Arabidopsis thaliana: one gene and its partners. The protein of the gene in region 2 interacts with the protein of the main gene of each other region in a pairwise test. Each region holds a gene or a part of one and is shown on either strand. Other genes may lie near its edges. The genes, in order: AT1G11940, AT3G05150, AT3G12180 and AT2G16030.

The links.
Region 1: the proteins of AT3G05150 (region 2) and AT1G11940 interact in a protein complementation assay, tested with the Arabidopsis thaliana proteins (one large-scale study listed by BioGRID).
Region 3: the proteins of AT3G05150 (region 2) and AT3G12180 interact in a protein complementation assay, tested with the Arabidopsis thaliana proteins (one large-scale study listed by BioGRID).
Region 4: the proteins of AT3G05150 (region 2) and AT2G16030 interact in a protein complementation assay, tested with the Arabidopsis thaliana proteins (one large-scale study listed by BioGRID).

Annotation. Positions count from the first base shown.
Region 1 is NC_003070.9:4,030,989-4,035,967, forward strand, and holds AT1G11940 (Core-2/I-branching beta-1,6-N-acetylglucosaminyltransferase family protein), read right to left. Parts: upstream 3,168-4,979; 5' UTR 2,959-3,167; coding exon 2,671-2,958; intron 2,589-2,670; coding exon 2,472-2,588; intron 2,397-2,471; coding exon 2,296-2,396; intron 2,172-2,295; coding exon 2,100-2,171; intron 1,970-2,099; coding exon 1,888-1,969; intron 1,741-1,887; coding exon 1,660-1,740; intron 1,560-1,659; coding exon 1,518-1,559; coding exon of another isoform or gene 1,482-1,517; exon of another isoform or gene 1,327-1,481; coding exon 1,270-1,326; intron 1,179-1,269; coding exon 1,032-1,178; intron 945-1,031; coding exon 780-944; 3' UTR 546-779; downstream 1-545. Other genes in the region: AT1G11950 (Transcription factor jumonji (jmjC) domain-containing protein), read right to left, coding at 3,759-3,833, 3,938-4,057, 4,138-4,223, 4,306-4,378, 4,454-4,735, 4,816-4,979.
Region 2 is NC_003074.8:1,438,143-1,444,176, reverse strand, and holds AT3G05150 (Major facilitator superfamily protein), read right to left. Parts: upstream 4,105-6,034; 5' UTR 4,064-4,104; intron 4,052-4,063; exon of another isoform or gene 3,979-4,051; 5' UTR 3,962-3,978; coding exon 3,806-3,961; intron 3,693-3,805; coding exon 3,630-3,692; intron 3,532-3,629; coding exon 3,442-3,531; intron 3,316-3,441; coding exon 3,256-3,315; intron 3,152-3,255; coding exon 3,086-3,151; intron 2,950-3,085; coding exon 2,884-2,949; intron 2,645-2,883; coding exon 2,569-2,644; intron 2,445-2,568; coding exon 2,380-2,444; intron 2,274-2,379; coding exon 2,181-2,273; intron 2,107-2,180; coding exon 2,026-2,106; intron 1,944-2,025; coding exon 1,859-1,943; intron 1,765-1,858; coding exon 1,655-1,764; intron 1,575-1,654; coding exon 1,515-1,574; intron 1,417-1,514; coding exon 1,363-1,416; intron 1,276-1,362; coding exon 1,216-1,275; intron 1,126-1,215; coding exon 1,011-1,125; intron 929-1,010; coding exon 820-928; coding exon of another isoform or gene 816-819; exon of another isoform or gene 680-815; and 3 more. Other genes in the region: RBK2 (ROP binding protein kinases 2), read left to right, coding at 5,978-6,030. UniProt on the Arabidopsis thaliana protein: Sugar transporter.
Region 3 is NC_003074.8:3,881,540-3,885,365, reverse strand, and holds AT3G12180 (Cornichon family protein), read right to left. Parts: upstream 2,037-3,826; 5' UTR 1,903-2,036; coding exon 1,828-1,902; intron 1,347-1,827; coding exon 1,165-1,346; intron 1,080-1,164; coding exon 957-1,079; intron 857-956; coding exon 796-856; 3' UTR 502-795; downstream 1-501. Other genes in the region: AT3G12170 (Chaperone DnaJ-domain superfamily protein), read right to left, coding at 2,711-2,915, 3,008-3,098, 3,190-3,272, 3,359-3,465, 3,551-3,610, 3,692-3,793.
Region 4 is NC_003071.7:6,973,135-6,976,966, reverse strand, and holds AT2G16030 (S-adenosyl-L-methionine-dependent methyltransferases superfamily protein), read left to right. Parts: upstream 1-1,959; 5' UTR 1,960-2,075; coding exon 2,076-2,771; 3' UTR 2,772-3,294; downstream 3,295-3,832. Other genes in the region: AT2G16040 (hAT dimerization domain-containing protein / transposase-like protein), read right to left, coding at 1-214, 644-950; AT2G16020 (uncharacterized protein), read right to left, coding at 3,381-3,611; AT2G16019 (uncharacterized protein), read right to left, coding at 3,685-3,795; AT2G16018 (uncharacterized protein), read left to right, coding at 3,449-3,832.

The DNA of each region.
Region 1 (4,979 bases), on a different chromosome or scaffold from region 2:
TGAGTTTCTGATGAGAAGTTTTCGTTAATGGAAGTTTTCCTTTTTTTATGATTGCTAGGCTTAGCTCGAGTCGGTTGGGAATTTTTTTAATGGTTAAGATTTTTGAACTTAAAAGATTCAGAGAGATTTTTATAAAAATGACAATGCCAATACTATGGATTTGGAATAATTGCATTGTTGTAGCCCAATTAAAAAAATGTTTTTTTTAAGCTAATTTTAGTGAACAAATTTTTTCAAAAAATGTGGCCCAATTGAGCTCAACTACCGTCCAACGGCTCGTCGTTTGACTCATTTCTATGGAATCATCAGATTTGCAAAAGAAGCTTAGAATTCCGACGAACTAGGCCCAGTCCGCCCATAAAGCAACCAAAACATGTGCTTTACGCTACCAACTATAAAGAAAAATGTAAGGTCACTTGTTTAAAAAGTTTGTTTTGGTTAAGTGTTTATGTACTTCATTATTGTGTGTTCGAGTCCTTGAAAATTTTAGTTTTTTTTTAACAATTTCCAGGAGAATGAGTAAAAGACATCAATCCAGAGTAGAATTTGCTATTAACATATTCTATTAATCGAAGCCAGTTTCTTCAGACATATACACATAGAAATTTTAACACCCAAACACAAGATTATCCATGAAGAATGATTATTAGTTTTTACTAAGCGTCATATATAATCATAAACCATTAAACCTCATGAGGGATGTTTGTAATGTATCAATGCTATTCCTACTCTATGTATACGCTCTGTTGCTTGACCTACTTGCTTACACTGTTGCAAAGTTATAAGGTTTTGTTTGCTGATGATCCTATTAGTCCTTCACTCACAATGCGCATAGCAGCTTCATTCGTGAACTTCCTTGCAAAGAGAAAGCATGGGACGGGTTTCGAATCCGCCTTACACCATTCCGTTCGAGATTCAGACTCGTAATAGACATGGTCTATTTTCTGTCCCGAGAAAAGCAAAAGAACTAGAGAGATTACTTAGGGATTCATTCGGTTGTGATATTAATCCTCTGAACAAAAAGATTGTACCTTTATTTCTTTTATTTCCTCAGGGCCGGAGTTTTCCAATGTGAAAGTGACGGGATGCCAAGATTTGGCTTCATATTTTGTACCTGAAACGTTCCATACAGTGTATGTCACTGTTCTTCGTTCCATTTCACTCTCTAGTCCTTGCATCTGAAATGGTCAGTTTGTAATACATTAACAATATGGAACTTTTTAGATGGAAACAAAAATGAGAGAGATGTGTATCAGATATGATGGTCACCGTAAGCAATGTTTGCACATAGTGTTCATCGGGGATGCAGTTGCGTCGCTTCTGTTTCTGAGTTCACATCAAACGTAATAAAAGTTTCCCCATTTGTTTAATAAAGAAAGAGGTTAATCAATGGAGAGAAGTATTCATAGACTACAGAAAAGACACTGTTGAGATTGTTTTGAAACCAACACAAAGAATCAACATAAACATTCAGGCTGGTATTAAATGAAAAATACCAACTTTGAAATAGCACTTACAAGAAACAACCATGCCTCATTGGTACCTAAAGGTGGACATCTCTGCAAATCGAAAGAGAAATCAAGAAGTAAGTTATTGTTTCTTCAGCAACAAAGAATCAAGATTGAAATTAAAGTCATGATCATAAAGCTTAATCTTTACCTTGCAGAATTCCTTAAAAACTGGGAATACGATACCATCATTTACAATGACCTCTGCATGACTTCTGATCAAAGCTATCCACTGCAATAGATAAAACTAAGATGAGATTAAAAACTTCATGAACTTTAAAAGGTCCCTATCCTCCTAATGCTTAAATTTTCACAAGAAACTCAGGCTTCAAAAATCTTGGTAGCAATGTTCATTTCCTAAGCAAGAAAATGAAGATACCTGGGATCCTTTTCGCCATTTCTCTTCAGGTATGACAGGAGACATTTTCACACTGTACCGTGTCTCTTTAGTATGAAGAAAACTGCCAATAGAGAGCAACAAACATAGTTATCAACATCTAGACAACTCCTCTTATAATACACCAGTTATCAGGCCATATATATCAAGTATGAAGTACTAAGAAACCTCATAAATTCAGACTTTCAATCTACCTATCCACAAAACTCCTCGGTGAAGAGATAAGATATTTGTATATATAGCCAAAGTCATATAATGGAGCACATCTGCAAAACAGAAAGTAGATGAAAATGAAATAAGTCCGTACAAACCACAAATGTGCTCAAAGTCAGATGCAATAAGTGGTCAGGCATAAGATGATCTGAAAGAGTAATGCTGAAAGAAGCAAACCTGTCAGAGAGAAGAACAAATCTTTGATTGGAGTGATCCTCTAAAGCAGATGCAAGCAACAATCTTTCTGCTTCAATCATGCTTGATTCTCCCCATACTACCTATAACCATAACAACACCACCCTAAGTTTCACTATAAAAAAACATCAAATGGAGAAATTCTCATGAACACTCACCTTAATGCTATTGTTCAATTGGCGATTATAGAAATACTGTGATCGTGTAGTTTCTTCATTGAACACGAAACCAGGTACTGAATGTATATAAATTGAGAAATTCGCATGATCCACTCCCTGCAAAATCACCAGAATCAGCAATTTTTTCGAAATTTAGAATAACGGACAAGTATTAATAGGACTAAGAATCTTTTTTGACCTTGAAGAATCTATCCCACATAAAATCAAGTGGGAGATCACGGCGAGCTAAGAAAAGGAAAGCGAGCTTGGGACGATCACCGGAGTATTTGTGAAGCGGTGTCTGAGATCTCGCGACGGAGAGTGGAAACGACAATGTCGTGAAGGAATTGTACTGTAGTTGGATTCGAAGAAGAGCAAGAAGGCAAAGCGCGACGGAGAAAGCGATTACGAGTTTCCATCCCAGCCACACGACGCCGCCGCGACGGGACAATGGAGGCGGAATCTGCGGCTGTGATTTCTTCGTCATTGTACTACGATCACTCACCGTCGTACGATCAACATTCGAGTTAGAGAAACGAACAATCACAAGTCTTTTTAGGGTTTTTGAAGTCAATAAATTTCTCAGGAGAGAAACGGAAACTGAAGAATTGCAAATTACAACATTTTGGATTTTGAGAGAAAGAGAGAAAGAAAGGTAGAATGATGTTGATAGTTCGACGTATAAACTTGTAAACGACGTCGTAAGCCACGTACACGTTTTAAGTTAGTTGGGACCCACGTTAAATTAGAACATCATTAAATTGTTGTCCGAAATTGAAATTGTCAGAAAATGGTATGAAAATTATACAATTTGACTAGGAATATTAATTATTGTATTTCCTTCTATACAATTAGAAAAAAAAAAAAAATACCTTAAAACAAAACCTTTGGAAATTAATGTATTAAGTCATTTTAAAACCTTTGAAAACAAAACAATCCATATTTACTGCAGTAAAAATTTGCAAGCAACAACTGAACCAATTGTATTTGCTACTATGAATCTATGATGCTCTCATATCATAAACTTTCATTTGCTCTCAAAATGATGTAAAGATACAAAACTATACAAAAGAAGCTTACATCAAATATTCATTCATATGCCAAAACAGACCGGAAAAGGAAAAGTTACATCAAAATCCCATTTGAAAAAAAGGAAATCATTCTTTTCAAGAGACACTTGTCTCTTTTACATACATATATCACAGCAAAAGCCAACTACAATAGCCATGGCTTTAACAATTCTACAAAATCTGCTGTTAATCCTACAACAACAAAGCTATAGAGCTTTTAGCTGCGATCTAGCAATAATGTCTCCACTTCTTTCAGAGCTTGTTCAACTGCATAGATCACCATCTTTTTTATCTGTTCACATGGCAAAGATTAAAACAAGATTCAACTACAAACAAAACTGTATCCATTGACAGAAGTTGCTAATCCAAAATTGAAAATATCAGAAAAAGAATCACCTCAAGTTTGTCTTCTCTGGCTTTATGGTTCTTAGGGAGTTGTCGAAACTCATCAGTCAAACGGAGACACTCATCGATGTTTTCAGGGGAAACAAAATCAACAGCTACCTTTGTGCACGACTGTATCAAAATCCATAATACAAGTTAAAGATAATGAGAAAAAGTTTAGTTAATAGGACAGCTTCCATTCAAATAATAACCTTGAGATTCCGAACTTGATGAGGACAACCTGCTGGAATAAACACTGCTTCTCCTAGCTTTTGCACAAATGTCCATGGCTCAATCCCTTTAGTTCAAACAAACAAACACAAAAACGTAAGAATACAATGTCGGTAAGTGACAGTTACTACAGTTACAAGTAACCATACCAAATTCTGCCTTGAGTTTTCTTTTATGCTCCACGGTTAAGAAATATGACTGATCATGTATTGGATGATACACCTAACATAAAGAATCCTATCAGCACAATAACCTCTAAGACTCGGAACTGAAAACGTTTTGTGGATTATTTCTTACCTTTGTAACACGAGAGCAATAAGTATGTCTGAATTCTATGCAATGCTTCCTTAGATACTCTTCAAGCTTAGGAACATCTTCTCTTTTAAAGATGTCCCAAAGTGCACCACTTGTTTCATCATAAACCACAATCTCATCACTCACAACCTCTTCTTCCTCTAAACCATTTTGCTCCTGAAGCTCTTTCTCATTCTGTTGCTTATGTTTCTGTTTCAAATCTGCAATTGCAGACCTTTGCTCCTCACTTAGTGTTACTTCAGCAGTATGCATCAGAATATTAACCTACAAAAACAAAAAACCGTTATACACCTGAGAAACCGTATTATTATTTAACAGTACTAAGTAACAATTCTGAAACTTACAGCATCTGACATATCACAGTGAAGCTTAGTGACTGAATCTCCTCTACCGAGCTCATCTGAAGTCCCATATGCAACATAAGTTTTTGGACCAAGATCTGGTTTAAGAAGTCCTTCAGGAAGTTTTGTAGCAATGTTGAGAATTCCTGATCTAGGATCGCTGTATT
Region 2 (6,034 bases):
AGATGAAGAACGTGTATATTTATTAACAACTAACAAGAACCGTTTAAATAGCAAAACGATATACAAGAATCAAGACCAGAGTATTTTACCTTGTAAGAGGATTTTTTATGTTTTGTTTCTCTCGGCTAATGAGCAATGTAGATAAAATTTGAGTGAGAGAACTCCTCCAGTGGAAAAACAGAACTAAAAAAAGATTGTACTCGACATTTGTAAGAAATAAACCAAGTAAAGAGGATTCAGATTTCAGAGTCAAGAAAGGAGTATTTATAGAGAGTCATTATTTAAATTTCTTTCCAATCAAATATTATAGATTCAAACGGTAAGAAAATGTTACCGTTTCACAACGTTCATATTTTTCCACTGTATCAAGTCAAATCAAACTAAACGTTAGAAGAATATCGGAAATCGTAAACGCACTTAAGAGTTAAGACTCTTTTATTCATTTACCGAGTAAAATTCTCTTGAAAGCTGAAGGCCCAAAAGTAAGGCCCATTATGTATGATATAATTGAGAAGAAGAAAAATCGATGGCGGGATAGTAGTGAACAATATCCTCCTCACTAATTTGAAGGGTATGACTGTGTGTTTGATTGATTCGAGAAAAGCCTCTTTACGAGAGAACATGCCCACTTCTTGACTAAAGAACATTTTCATGCCATAATTCTTTCGATTTACGAAATCTGAAAATCCAAAATTAAATTCATAAAATACATATAAAGCCTTTCGGTTATATTGATAATGGTATGCGTTTGCATGTAGATAGTTATACCTTAATAAAAAAAATAAAAAATTAACATGTATTATATATTTACAGAGTTACATCATCATTGCTTGAATCTCTTCCAAGGTTCTGCCTTTAGTTTCAGGAACAAGTTTTGCTATGAAGATAATAGCCAATACACATACCCCACCATACACATAAAATGTACCTAAAAACAAAGAAATGCGATCAATACTGATTGTTCACCTAGTAGTTATGTATATAAAATAACAAAAAAAAATGTAATATACCATGAGGGCTCCAAATCATGAGAAAGTTGAAAGTGAATGAGACAAGCCATGAACTTAGCCAATTTACTACAGTGACAAGTCCTCCGGCAGTTCCTTTCAAATTTATTGGAAATATCTGGAAGTATAAAAAAAGAGTAAATTAATGTAATGACAAGATTAAGAAAAAATAATGAAATATGAACATTATATATTGTTTTGAAATTACCTCAGACATTATAACCCATGGGATTGCACCCATTCCAATAGAGAACGAACCGATGTAGACCTGGAAATTGGGTTTTGGGTCAACCGAGGAAAAAACCAAGACCAAACCATATATATTGAAACCAAAATTAGGTTTATAGATGTTTACCAAGACACCACTAACTGCCAGAGCCGGAATGATGTCAAGTGCTAAACCATGAGCCTGTCAAAACCAAAATCAAACCGGTTAACCTAAACGTCCTATATTTTTCCTGACATTATACGCTTTAATTTTTTAATTTTATTTTTCATATGATTGACCTTCAAAAGAAATGAATTTCCGATGAGCAAACATCCAATCAGCATCCCAACAGCTGAAGCCTGCAATGTACCGCATGGTCAGACCGAATACTCTAAACCGGTATTCTAGGATTTATTGGAAACTGAAACAAGAACCATACCATAAGAAGTGGCCTTCTTCCAAGCCGATCAATTAGCAATGTTGCGCCTAGTGCTGTGAGAACGACTTGTTCGATCGAGTATAGAATGCTTCCAAGAGTTGGGGATGCTCCTGGTACTCCAAAAATGGAACAAAAACCGATGAATGGTCTAGAAATGGAGTATGTTAGATTATAACATTTGCTAGATCATTTTCGAATTATAACCTGCTGATACGAATATTTGTTGTGCGTAGAAGATAACGCCATTAATTCCAACGAATTGTTGGAAAAACATCAAACCAACTCCAACCTGAATAGATAGAAAAATAAGATTTAACCAAATCAAACCGGGAAATAGTTATAATCGGTTGAATGGAATTAGAGATTCTTACTATCACAAATCGAATATTCTTTTTGTCAATAAGGTCCATCAATGTGGCTTTCGGGAGGTGAGCAAGACTCGCTAAGTACTCCTATAAACCGGAATTCAAAACACGAAAAATGTCATGTCACGTAACAAAACCGATTTTCTGGTTTTAGATTGTACCTGAATTTCCCCGGCTTCTCTTGTGATATTGGCCTGAGGACCCCTCAGTTTTTGCAACGCAATTTCAAAATCACTGTGGCGGCCAACCATTTCCTTGAAACGCAAAATGCATATGAGTTGGGTCGGTTAGTTTTTTTTTTGGTTTTAATGTTAAGAGGTTAATTTCAACCATATGTTGAGTTACGATCGTTGATCTTACCAGCCATCTGGGTGATTCAGGGATGAACCAAGTCCCAAAGAATAGAACCACGCACGGTGCAACTCCTGAAATTGGTTAATTAAACCTCGTTTTGTTATACCCAAATTAAATTTTATACCATCTAATTTTGTATAATTACTAAACCAACAACAAATATTTCCGGTTCAGCTACCGCACAAACAAGTTTACCGGTTAGTGCAAGAGTTCTCCAATTTACGACGGCGCCTATGAGGAACATAGAAGCTAATCCGATTACGATAAAGAGCTGCAATATTAACAATTTCAATTTATTTCAGAAATAAAACAATAATTTTTTGTTGTCTTTTAAAAGATTTAAATAACTCTAAATACTGTTTTGATTTTTGTTTTTTTGACCACAAAATACTCCTAATTTGTGATACAATGTCAAATATCTCGAAAACACCAACACATATGCTAGCTCTGATTCTATTGTAATCAGTACATTTTCTAATGCAGTAGTAAATAAAAGGACATCATCATCACCTGGTTAAGCGTCGCTAAGGCTCCTCTCAATTTTCTCGGACTAATTTCGGCGATGAAGACCGGTACCTACACAAAATCGGTGCCAAATGTGGATTTCCAAAAAGTTTCATATATAAAAAGGAATTTTTATTTATTGATTAATTTATAACACTATGCATGGCTTTTTATCCATAAGGGGAAAATGCTTATGAAAATGTCGTACCACAAAGGAAAGGGTACCGCAACCATAACCCGTTAGAAATCTTCCGAAATCCAAAGGTACGTCACCCTAATATTAAAAAAAAAACATCACTATTTAGTTGCAGATTTTCCATGTTATTTTAAAGCTTTTTTTGAAAACAGCTATTGAAGAAATTCAGCCAAAAGAATAACCTTGGCCAAGTAAATTATCAGCCAGCCGATGGCAGAGATCACTGAAGACAACCGCATGGCCTGTCTCAAAGACAAAAACCATGTGAGCCAAAAAGTAATTTTATATTTCGTAAAAATGGTATATTTTTCTTAGGATTTATTGTGTGTATATTGAGATAAAAACAATTTTGTTTAGGTAGGTTTTACCCCTTTCCGACCGATGAAATCAGAAATCTTCCCCGATGTAATGGCGCCGAGCACTGCTCCCATATTCAATATCGATCCGAAAACCGAAAACTAGATTCCAATAGAGAAAAAAAAAAAAAAAAGATTAAGCAAAATATTGTTAAACATGCATCTATAAACGTAGAAGACTTAATCAATTTAATATAAACCTGGGAATATGATAAATTAAGCTCTTCCATAATCCCAAACTGTGTTGGAGCGGAGTATCCCACCTATTAAAAAACAAACACAGATTTTCTCGTATCAAAAAGATTAATCGTCACAAATTCTTAGGTTCTCATCATCTTTTATTTCCAAAGTAATAGGTGTCGTAAAAGAATCTTACGCATGTTCCAAACTCGTAGGAACCGCAAACGGCAATGATCGTGCTTAGATAAACCATCCATGATGCTTCTTCTGAGACGTCGGATCCATTCTCCGGCAGCAGCAACGGCTCGGATTTGTCGTTCCTTTTCTCCATGTCGTCTTTTCTTGTCTCCATTTTCTTCGTAAAATGCCCTTTGAATTCAACGAATACTTATCAATTTTTATGTAGATAAAATATAGGATATATGATAAGAAACACAAGATTTGGATAACTCACCGGAGGAAATGAGAAGGCACCGTGTTTTTAGATCTAAAAACTCTGATTTGTTCCTAATTTATTGATATATATCATGTCTATATTTATCTCTGTATAAATCAGTACATGTAGCTAGGCTGGCTTAGCTAAAACCCATGCAGGATAATTTTGGACGAATTAGACAATTTGAATTAATTTATTCGAGATTTTATGAAAGTCCCAACTCCCAATGCATTATTACACGTTGGGGGTTCTCTATAGTTTTAATGTTGATTGACTAAACTTGAATTTTCTTAAGTAAGATAATTCAGAAGTAATTACATGGTATTTCATAGTAATAATATTCACTAATACTTTCCTCAAAAAATTCACAAATACTATGTACATTATGGATGCATTGTGTTACTGGGTAAGTAAGATGCATGGTTTGTTATTTTGTTTTCCTTTTTGGTGATGGTTTATGACATGCACAGTAACGTGTAATTGACTCAAAGGTTTGACCCGATAAGACAGTTGTTTTCCACAGATCCGATGCTCATGTGTTTTTTCCTGGCCCACCGCAAGATCCAAGCTGTGATGGATAGTTTTTTTTTTTTTTTTTTTCTATAAATGTGATGGATAGTTGATACTATAATAATTTCTAATTTGGGAGACAAAATCCAAAAAAAACTCTAGATCATATAGTATAAAACTACAGGGATTCAAAAGACAGTATTTGGATTTGTAGTTGGCCATGAGATATTCGTTTCCACTCCGCATTAACCACATAAGTAATGAATTATTCTTCTTCTCGTCATATGGGCTAATATCATTCAAATTCTTGCGAATGTAAGATGTATAGAAAAAACCGCCCACTATAGAAATCATCAAAATCTATGAAAATGATTTTGTCGCGGAAGTTGAACTGAGTCATTACAATTTGGACCCAGCGTCATTGAGCAAAAACCTATTTAATCGAGGGTACAGAAAGTTAGCGTAGGGACTATTGATAGATTGATAGAACAGAACAGTACCTAACAAGATTTACATAAATGATCGATGTCCCCTCTCTTATACAACAATGAAGTATTGAACAATCACTTCCAACATGATTGTGGTCCGTGGTTTAACTATCCAAAACTTATATAAGAGTCACTTGAAATAATATTTGTTAATCACAAAAATAAGAATCATAAAAATAAATAAACGGTGCAAAGCAATAAAGCCAATGCAGGTTTTAATGCAGGCTTTCTGCATCATATACACACAGAAAATATTCTATTCACAAGAAAGAAAATACAAAACAGAGTACTACTTGAATAAAAACATATAGAAAATTAAAGATAATTACTATCAGGTCGCAATATATACAAGAATGTCAATATCTACAATTGATTAGTAACAGTAAATGAAATTAGTAAAACTAAAACTACTTAGATTACTCAAGTTTGATCTTTTATAAATTCCTTATCAACAAGATAAAGAAAGTAGTTTTTTAAAACCTTAAAAGACCTAAATTAGGAATATGAGTTTGGATAACGAGACCGACAGATGAAGCGATTTTTAAGGACCCTTAACCCTTTCTGCCATAAATGAATGAAGCTAAGAGAATGCCTCTGAGTTCAATCCAAAAAGAGAAAATCAAAAGCATATTGCCAAATATAGGATTTAGTCATTTTAGAGTCTAACTATTAGCTTAACAAAAAAACTACTAGTAGATATACCATTGGTCAACGGAAAACAATTAAATTAGTAAATCAAATTTTAAACACACAGACAAAACCTTTTCTTTCGGGTGTCTCGAGACGAACACCAACTTCAAAACTTCTTTCTATTTTTATTTATTTTTGGTTTAAATGTTAACTTCTTTCTATTTCCTTTCTATGATCCTCTTCTCTATTTTTAGGTTTTCAGGTTTCTGAGAAAATCTTAAAAGTGTCCTACCAACACTCTTTCATGGCGGTAGACCAAAGCAAAGAAGCTTCTCCCGTGTGTTGTGCTCTTCCAATGTAA
Region 3 (3,826 bases), 2.4 Mb from region 2:
TAAGCGCCTATTTGCTGGATTAAGTGGCATAGTCGTTGGGAGTTAATTAAGGACACCCACGGGCCACGGCCAAGTATGAAAATTGTAGTCTATCTATCTTGAATGATCTTTTCGCTTGGATTGACTAGAGTCTCTCGTGGTCCCAGACTCTTGCCCTAAAAAATCTAAATAAGGAAAGTTCCTTATTTAACCGGTTTAATGCCCGTAGTAAATATTATCGGTTTGTGAGATGGTCTGAGCCGGTCCGGATCGGGTCATAGGGGGTCTGGGACGTAATCAAGCTGGATAACTCTCTTGGGTTGGGCCGTAATCCTTCTTGGGTCGCTATTTGGTCACTATCGCAAAAATTGGCTCATATAAAAAGGTTTGTTGAAACATGCCTTGGTTTTTGTTCTTGCAGAGTTTCTGTTTGGGTCACCTTCTCCTCCTCCTCTTGGATGGACATGGATTTAAGGTCCACAGCGGGTTCAATTGCATCTCCGATAAACTAGATATCGGTGCGTTTTTCCACAGCCAGTCTATGTAATACAATGTAGCTTCATTCTTGATACATGATTTTTATGACTTCAATGATGAGACTGAACATTATATTGCGCAAAACAAAACTGATGAAACCCTCCATGTCAAACGATTTGTGATGAGTTTTCGGTAATCATACGTTATATAAAGCTACATGATGAATCCCTGAATGGCTAATTCTAAGCAGGGACGTAATAAAAACCTGTCACAATTTTCTAAAACACACTCAGAAAATAAAGAGAGAGTGGTTGATAACGCAGAGCGCAAGCGCATAAATCAAAACAAATGAAGTAGATCATCATCTTCCGTGAAGCTATAGACCGCAGAGAGAGTGAGCCTGCAAAAATGTTTTATGGACTCGGTAAGTAACTTCATAGTAGAAGAACCAAAGTAAGTGAAGATGTTAATAGGAAAGCTAAAGCTGTAGTTTTTTTTACCTAAAGACAACCATGATGAAGAGAAAGACGTAGAACCCGAGCTTGGTATACCGGAGCTTCTTTTCAAAGCTGATACCACGGAACACTTCAGTGACATCGATGAGATAACGTCGCTCTTTGTATCTGAAGAACAATGGGAGGCGCGTATTTAGTTTCCACGCATGTCAATCAAGAATCATAAGCAATATGGATGGATATAGATACTTACAACATTGCGTGATAGACTGTTACAGGGACGGCGACCAGAAAGAAGACCCAATGCCATGTGAGGAGGAAGAGAAGGCAGAGTGACCCTTGGAGGATAAACTCAGGTATTACTAATCGGTTGATACGGGTACTTGTTTCAAAAGGGTTCAAGTAATCAGCTTCTAAATCCGTTAAGCAGATAACCTACAAAATCACACACGATATCAATAGACTAAAAAGGAATCTCAATGCTTCAATCATTAGCAGAGGCAGTTAGTATGAGAGTAAACACTATTGGTAGTAGTATCTAACTTCATTCATTCACAGTATATAACTCGCAATTAATCAACTATATGTCTCAATTGACCAAGTATCATATACAAGCCTTGCAGACAATCCAAATCAGAACTAAGAACAACTTTGAGTTAGAAGCATAAGATTAAGGATAAACAATGAAACCTCTCTGGACCCAAAAAATTGTCAATTGTATTTAGTACAAAACCGACGAACACAAAGGAAAATTGTTCCATTCCTAATTTTTTAGCTAATTCGAACAAAAAGCTAAGTTGCTCGGTGTTTTTTCACAAGTACAATTCCGACAATCAGGATTTGAACAGTAAGGACAGATCTCGATTTAAGAATCTTAATGGAAAGTAAAAGGGGACAAACAAAGTAGATAGATTACCTGGTAGAAGACGGAAGCGACGAGAGCCAAGCTAACGAAGAAGGAGACTATCCATAAAAACAAATCCCAAGCCATATTTGCTCTCTTCAACAATTACGATTCGTCTTTTTGCGACTGCGACTCTTCTCCTTAAATACCTTTGAAAAAAAAAGAACTCTTCTTCTCTCAACAATTGGTGTACTTTACTTTGGGGTTCTATTGGACATTAGATTCTTCTTTCCTTTTTATTATTACTTCTCTAGTTTCTTTTTGTGAATATCCTTTTTGTTAAATTCCTTTTTCTTTTTCAACAAAAAAAAAAGATGCTTGGTGTTAATTAATAAAGAACTAACAAAATTTATTAACTGTATGCCATTTAGGCCTATACAAGCCATATAAGTAAATAATTTCATTTTTTTCTTCTCTTTTAGAATAATTATTTGGTTCTTTTAAATAAGTTCACTTGAAATTTGTTAGTTCTTTATTTAGGCCTATACAAGCCAAAGGATCCGTCCACTCTCCTCTTCCCGAGAAACTTGGTTGATACCGTACGTTTATATGTTACATTGTAACAAAGGCTTGTTTAGTTATCAACTGATTATGATGCATTACTCGACCTGATTGTTTTTGCAGGTGGAGAAGTCCTAGGACCCGGTGATAGAATTTCTCTTCTTCTGAAGATCCAGACGACATACACGTGGGACCCTGAGCTTTTGAACTGGTAAACTCACTGCTTTTTTTGTTGTTGGAAAAAAGACAAAAAGTAAAAATACACATTGTTTCCTAGCAAATACACATTAGTCTTCAACTTCTAAGAAGCAACAAATGTGATCTAATTTACGCTAAAAACATTGGTCTCCATTACAAACACGAAACCTAAATTTCACAAACTACTACATAATCTTTATTTTTTTCTAGACTTCTTCGATGATCTCCGGCTTTCAACTTTTCTCTGAGCAGCTTCGAACTCTTCTTCGTTTGGCTCAGAGTCAGCATTGCTACCATACCTAGAGACAAGTGAAGAGAACATTGAATCGAACTTCTCTTTCCTCTCATCTCCCCGCTGGGACATTACAGCGTATAAATCTTTATCTGCAGCCTTTGCTGCTCTGAAAGTATAGAAATTTTGAAACAGGTCACAACAAAGATAACTTCAGAGGGCATTTATTGGGGTGGAAAAGGTAGACAAATAGAAGCTTACTTCCGTCTCATCTTCTGGGGATTCGTGGGAGGTTCCATTTCTGCAATCTCCTTTGCCCATTTCTTGTAAGCTTTTGTTGATTTCACTTCTCCTGCAGATGTTAAACAATGGTATGCACAAACAAATCAGAACCTGGATAGGTTTTATAGACAAAAGAATTATTGCAAGAAAGAGAAGCCTACCCGCTGCAATGGCCTCATCGATAATATCTTTGAAACGGTGCGAATCAAGCTTGGGGTTCGAGCAAAGCATTGAGCAGAAAAGCCTGAAAGAGATATAGTACCAATAATGTTTATACAAACTTCAACTCACAAACTTGACAATAATGAAAACAAGGGGATGATTAATTACCTGCTCATTTTACCCTTAAACTTGTTATATAGCTCAATCAAATCATTCTTCTCGGATTCAGAACCCCTATAGTTGGCCTCAAACTCTTCAATATCTTCCTCGGTGACCTATAGCACAAATGATCAGTATACAGAACGAAACAGTTGTGTTGCAAAGTCCAAAAAGAAATCAATTGTGAATCATGATTCTTACCTTCTTGTACATTGCCTTGAAGAAGTCCCTCAAGTTGTCAACCACATCTCCCGAAAGATCCTAATGAGATAGGGAAATAACCAGTTTGTAAGAAAATCCTCCAGTACCTTTACTTAAGTTGAAAACTTTCTTTCAACTTACAGCATCATCAACTGAGCCAGTTTGATCATAGACTGCTCTTTTCTCTTCATCACCGAGAATCGAAATAACCTTTTGCAACTGCTGAAATTTCTCTTTAGCATCCTGTATTGGATAAGAAAAACAAGAATTCCGGTT
Region 4 (3,832 bases), on a different chromosome or scaffold from region 2:
TTTTTCAAATAAGTAACAAGCCCTCCTAACTGAGAAATAGCAACCTCAAGATCCATATCCTCAAACTGTAAGGATTTGCTTACTATATTCACAGCAGCTAGCAAATCGTACCAAATTATCATTCCAAATAAAAATTCAAACCCTCCAATTCCATGTGTTTCACTCTCTGTAAGAGACTCAACATCACTCCGGTGTCCTGGATTATCAGTGTATTCTGCCAAATAAAAAAGTGCATCTTGTATCTGTATCTTTGAAGCTTAATATCTTATTGGTTTAAGACTATCAATGCGGCTTTCCCAACGCGTTTGAGACAACGGTTTAAGTGTAATACCATTCACTGTTTCTCTAAACACTTCCCAATTGTTGGTTGAAGCTTCAAACAGACAATGTATTCGCTGAACAATTCCAAAAAAAGAAACAGCTTTCTTGGATGATGAAGCCATATCACAAAGTGCAAGGTTAAGACCATGGCATCCACATGGAGTGTAAAATGCTCTTGGATTTATATCAAGCAACCTTTTCTGAACTCCTTTATGTTTTCTCTTCATATTTTGTCAGTTGTCGTATGCTTGTCATCTTACATCATCAATATTCAACTTAAGATCAATCAATGCATCTTGAAGAGTCTTAAAAAGCCCCTCACCCCTCTTATCTTTGATGTGTAGAAACGTCAAGAAGAACTCCTCAATCTTAGGTGAACACGTTGAAACATCCACACATCGAATTAAGAAGGTCATTTGTTCTTTACGACTAACATCCGGAATGGAATCAAGAATGACTGAAAAATACTTCGCATCTTTAATCTTCTTTAAGATCATCATCTTGGTATCATTAGCAAGTAATTCTGTCAATTCATTCTGACTCTTATGACTGGGAAAATGGCAATGAATTTCACCTTTATTAGCCCGCCGAATGTGTTCCTTCATATCCGAATTAAAACCTCCAATCATTCTAATAAATGCCAAAATATTTCCACTATTTGGATCATCAACATTCTCTTTAGTTCCACAAAATGCTAAATTTTGTTTAGCTAGAGTCTTTACCACTGCAATTATTCTCACCAATACATCTCTCCAATGTTTTTTCTCCTTCTTAATTGCCTATTCCATATGGTTATCAATTGTTTTACTCTTTTGTAATCTCACTTCTAGCTCCATCCAATGAGTCATGGAAATAATATGACGATGAGTTGTTTCATGTCTTTTCAGCCTTTGCGCAGCATTTTTCCAGTCATTATACCCACTACTTGCTAACAATGTAGGATTTGTTTCTTGATCGAATAATTAGAGAGAAATTCGATCCGCTGATTTTTGAGGAATATTTGAATTTTGATTCTAAAAATAAGTGAATTCGAGTTTTGGTGACAAAGCAGCGCATTTGTTAGCTGATTGTATTTTGATTATTGATGCTATATAGACATAGATTTGTGCGAAAATTGAGGAACAAGAGAGAAATTTGATCCGCTAATTTTTGAGGAAGATTTGAATTTCGATTCTAAAAATAGATGGATTAGATCTGCAGCGTTTGTTAGTTGAATGTGTTTCGATTATTGATGCTAAATATACATAGATTTGTGCCAAAATGAGGAATTAGAGAGAAATTCGATCCGCTAATTTTTGAGGAATATTTGAATTTTGTTTTTAAAAATAGATGGATTCGAGTTTTGGTAACAATCGGCGGTGTTTGTTAGTTGATTGTGTTTTAATTATTGATGCTAAATAGACATAGATTTGTGTAAAAATTGAGGAACTGAGAGAAATTTGATTTGCTAATTTTTGAGGAATATTTGAATTTTAATTCCAAAAATAGATGGATTCGAGTTTTGATAACAATTCGCAGCGTTTGTTAGTTGACCATGTTTCGATTAATTATACTAAATCGACATAGATTTGTGGAAAATTGAGGAAATAGAGAGAAATTCGATCCGCTAATCTTATATGAATATTTGAATTTCGTTCCAAAAATAGATTATTTAGAGTTTTGGTAACAATCAACGGCGTTTGTTAGGTGATTGTGTTTTTATTATTGATGTTATATAAACATAGATATTTTGATCGGAGTTTTGATCGGCGACGATGGAGAGAAACGTCGAGAAGATGCTGAAGAGAGTATCAATAGTGTTCTTAAGCATCGGAACAGTATTAATGGTAATTATGATTCTCCAGACACCAAAAACTTGTATTTCTCCAGAAGCTCCATCGAAACCTCATACGCATTTCCCGAGATCTACATGCGATTCATCGCCTCGTCAGCATCTTCCTCTCCCAAAGAAGAACGCTCGAATCTGGTCCTCTGGAGCTTGGAAATCTCGTCTATACTCCTTCTCTACCTACTTCCTCCGATTTCGCGATCTCGGATTCATTCAAAATCACACCAAAGCTCTCTGTCTCTCCGCCGGAGCAGGCCATGCTCTGATGGCTCTTTCTCAGATCGGATTATCTGATGTTACCGCAGTTGAATTGGTTGATTCGATTCCTCTTGTGAAAAGAGCTGATCCTCATAACCTTCCGTTTTTCGACGGTGTCTTTGATTTTGCCTTCACTGCACATCTAGCTGAAGCTCTGTTTCCGTGGCAGTTTGTGGAGGAGATGGAGAGGACGGTGAGACGTGGCGGATTTTGTGTGGTTTCGGTTGATGAATGTGGTGGAGATGATGTAAGAGACATTGCTAGGCTTTTTCATAACTCCAAGGTCGTTGATGTTGCTAATGTAACCTTAGAAGGATCCAAAAAGACTAGTATACTATTCAAAGTTCAAGACTCTCCTACCTGAGGTGTTTTATTTCTCTTTTGATTTATAGGCCCTTTCCGGATTCTCAGAAAACTGCTTCAATATTCATAGAGTGGAGCTAGATTTGTTTCTGTTGAAATTCACTTACATGTTTGAAAAGCAGGAGATTTAACAGATTATGTGGTAACATTGTTCAAAGACCATGACCATATTTGTTCTGGATCCTAAAGCAATGTTTTGTTGAGGGAAGCTGCGATGTTTGTTGCGAGTTCAAGATCCAGAACAAAAGCTTTCTACAGGTTAATATCTTTTTTTTTGGAAGTTGGTCTCTGAGCTAAACAATTCTTAGGAACCTTGGTCGCTTTTGAAACAAGTAAAGAACTTTCAACAGCTTTTGAAGACTTTAGTGTGTGATGAAAGAAAGTACTTTCTTTCCAGGTGAGGTTCACGTTTCAATCTGTTAGAGCTCTCCTGTGTACTATTTGTGAGTTAAGTAAAATACTCTTTAGTCATTTTGTATACTTAGAAAGAACAAAATTCTTATTGGTGAATAAAAGGCTCTTACTAAAAAAAAAAAAAAAAAAAAAAAAAAATTTTCTCTCAAGCAAGATAACCAAGGTAGCCGCAAGCCTTGTTCGTGATTAGTTCTCTTCACCGGCGTTGCTCCTCTGACTGCCTGCGTTCCTGATTGTAGCTACTACTAAAGTGAGATCTCTCCAATGAATCTACTTTTCCGGTGGCGTAATTGTTTTCCGGCGAGTCTTTCACTTGAAATGACTTTCCTTTTTCTCTCGAATGCGAGCCACTCTCGTCGCTTACCGTCGTCTTCGGTCGCCTTCCTCCTTCTGAGGCCACCTTGTGCACCACCACCAGAGCCTCCATCTCCGCCGACTCCACCGGAACCACCGGATCCACCAGATTCTCAGATCTGCTTCACTTTTGCTGATTCTTATGCTCAGTCGTTGAGCTCCTCTTCCCTCCCAGATTTGGTCTCGCTCATTCTCCATATCTCCTCCGCCATATCTGAATCTCCGTCACCGACCTCTTCGATCACTGATTTTTTCATTGATGTTTTCCTTCTCGCCGACGACACCACTTTTCTT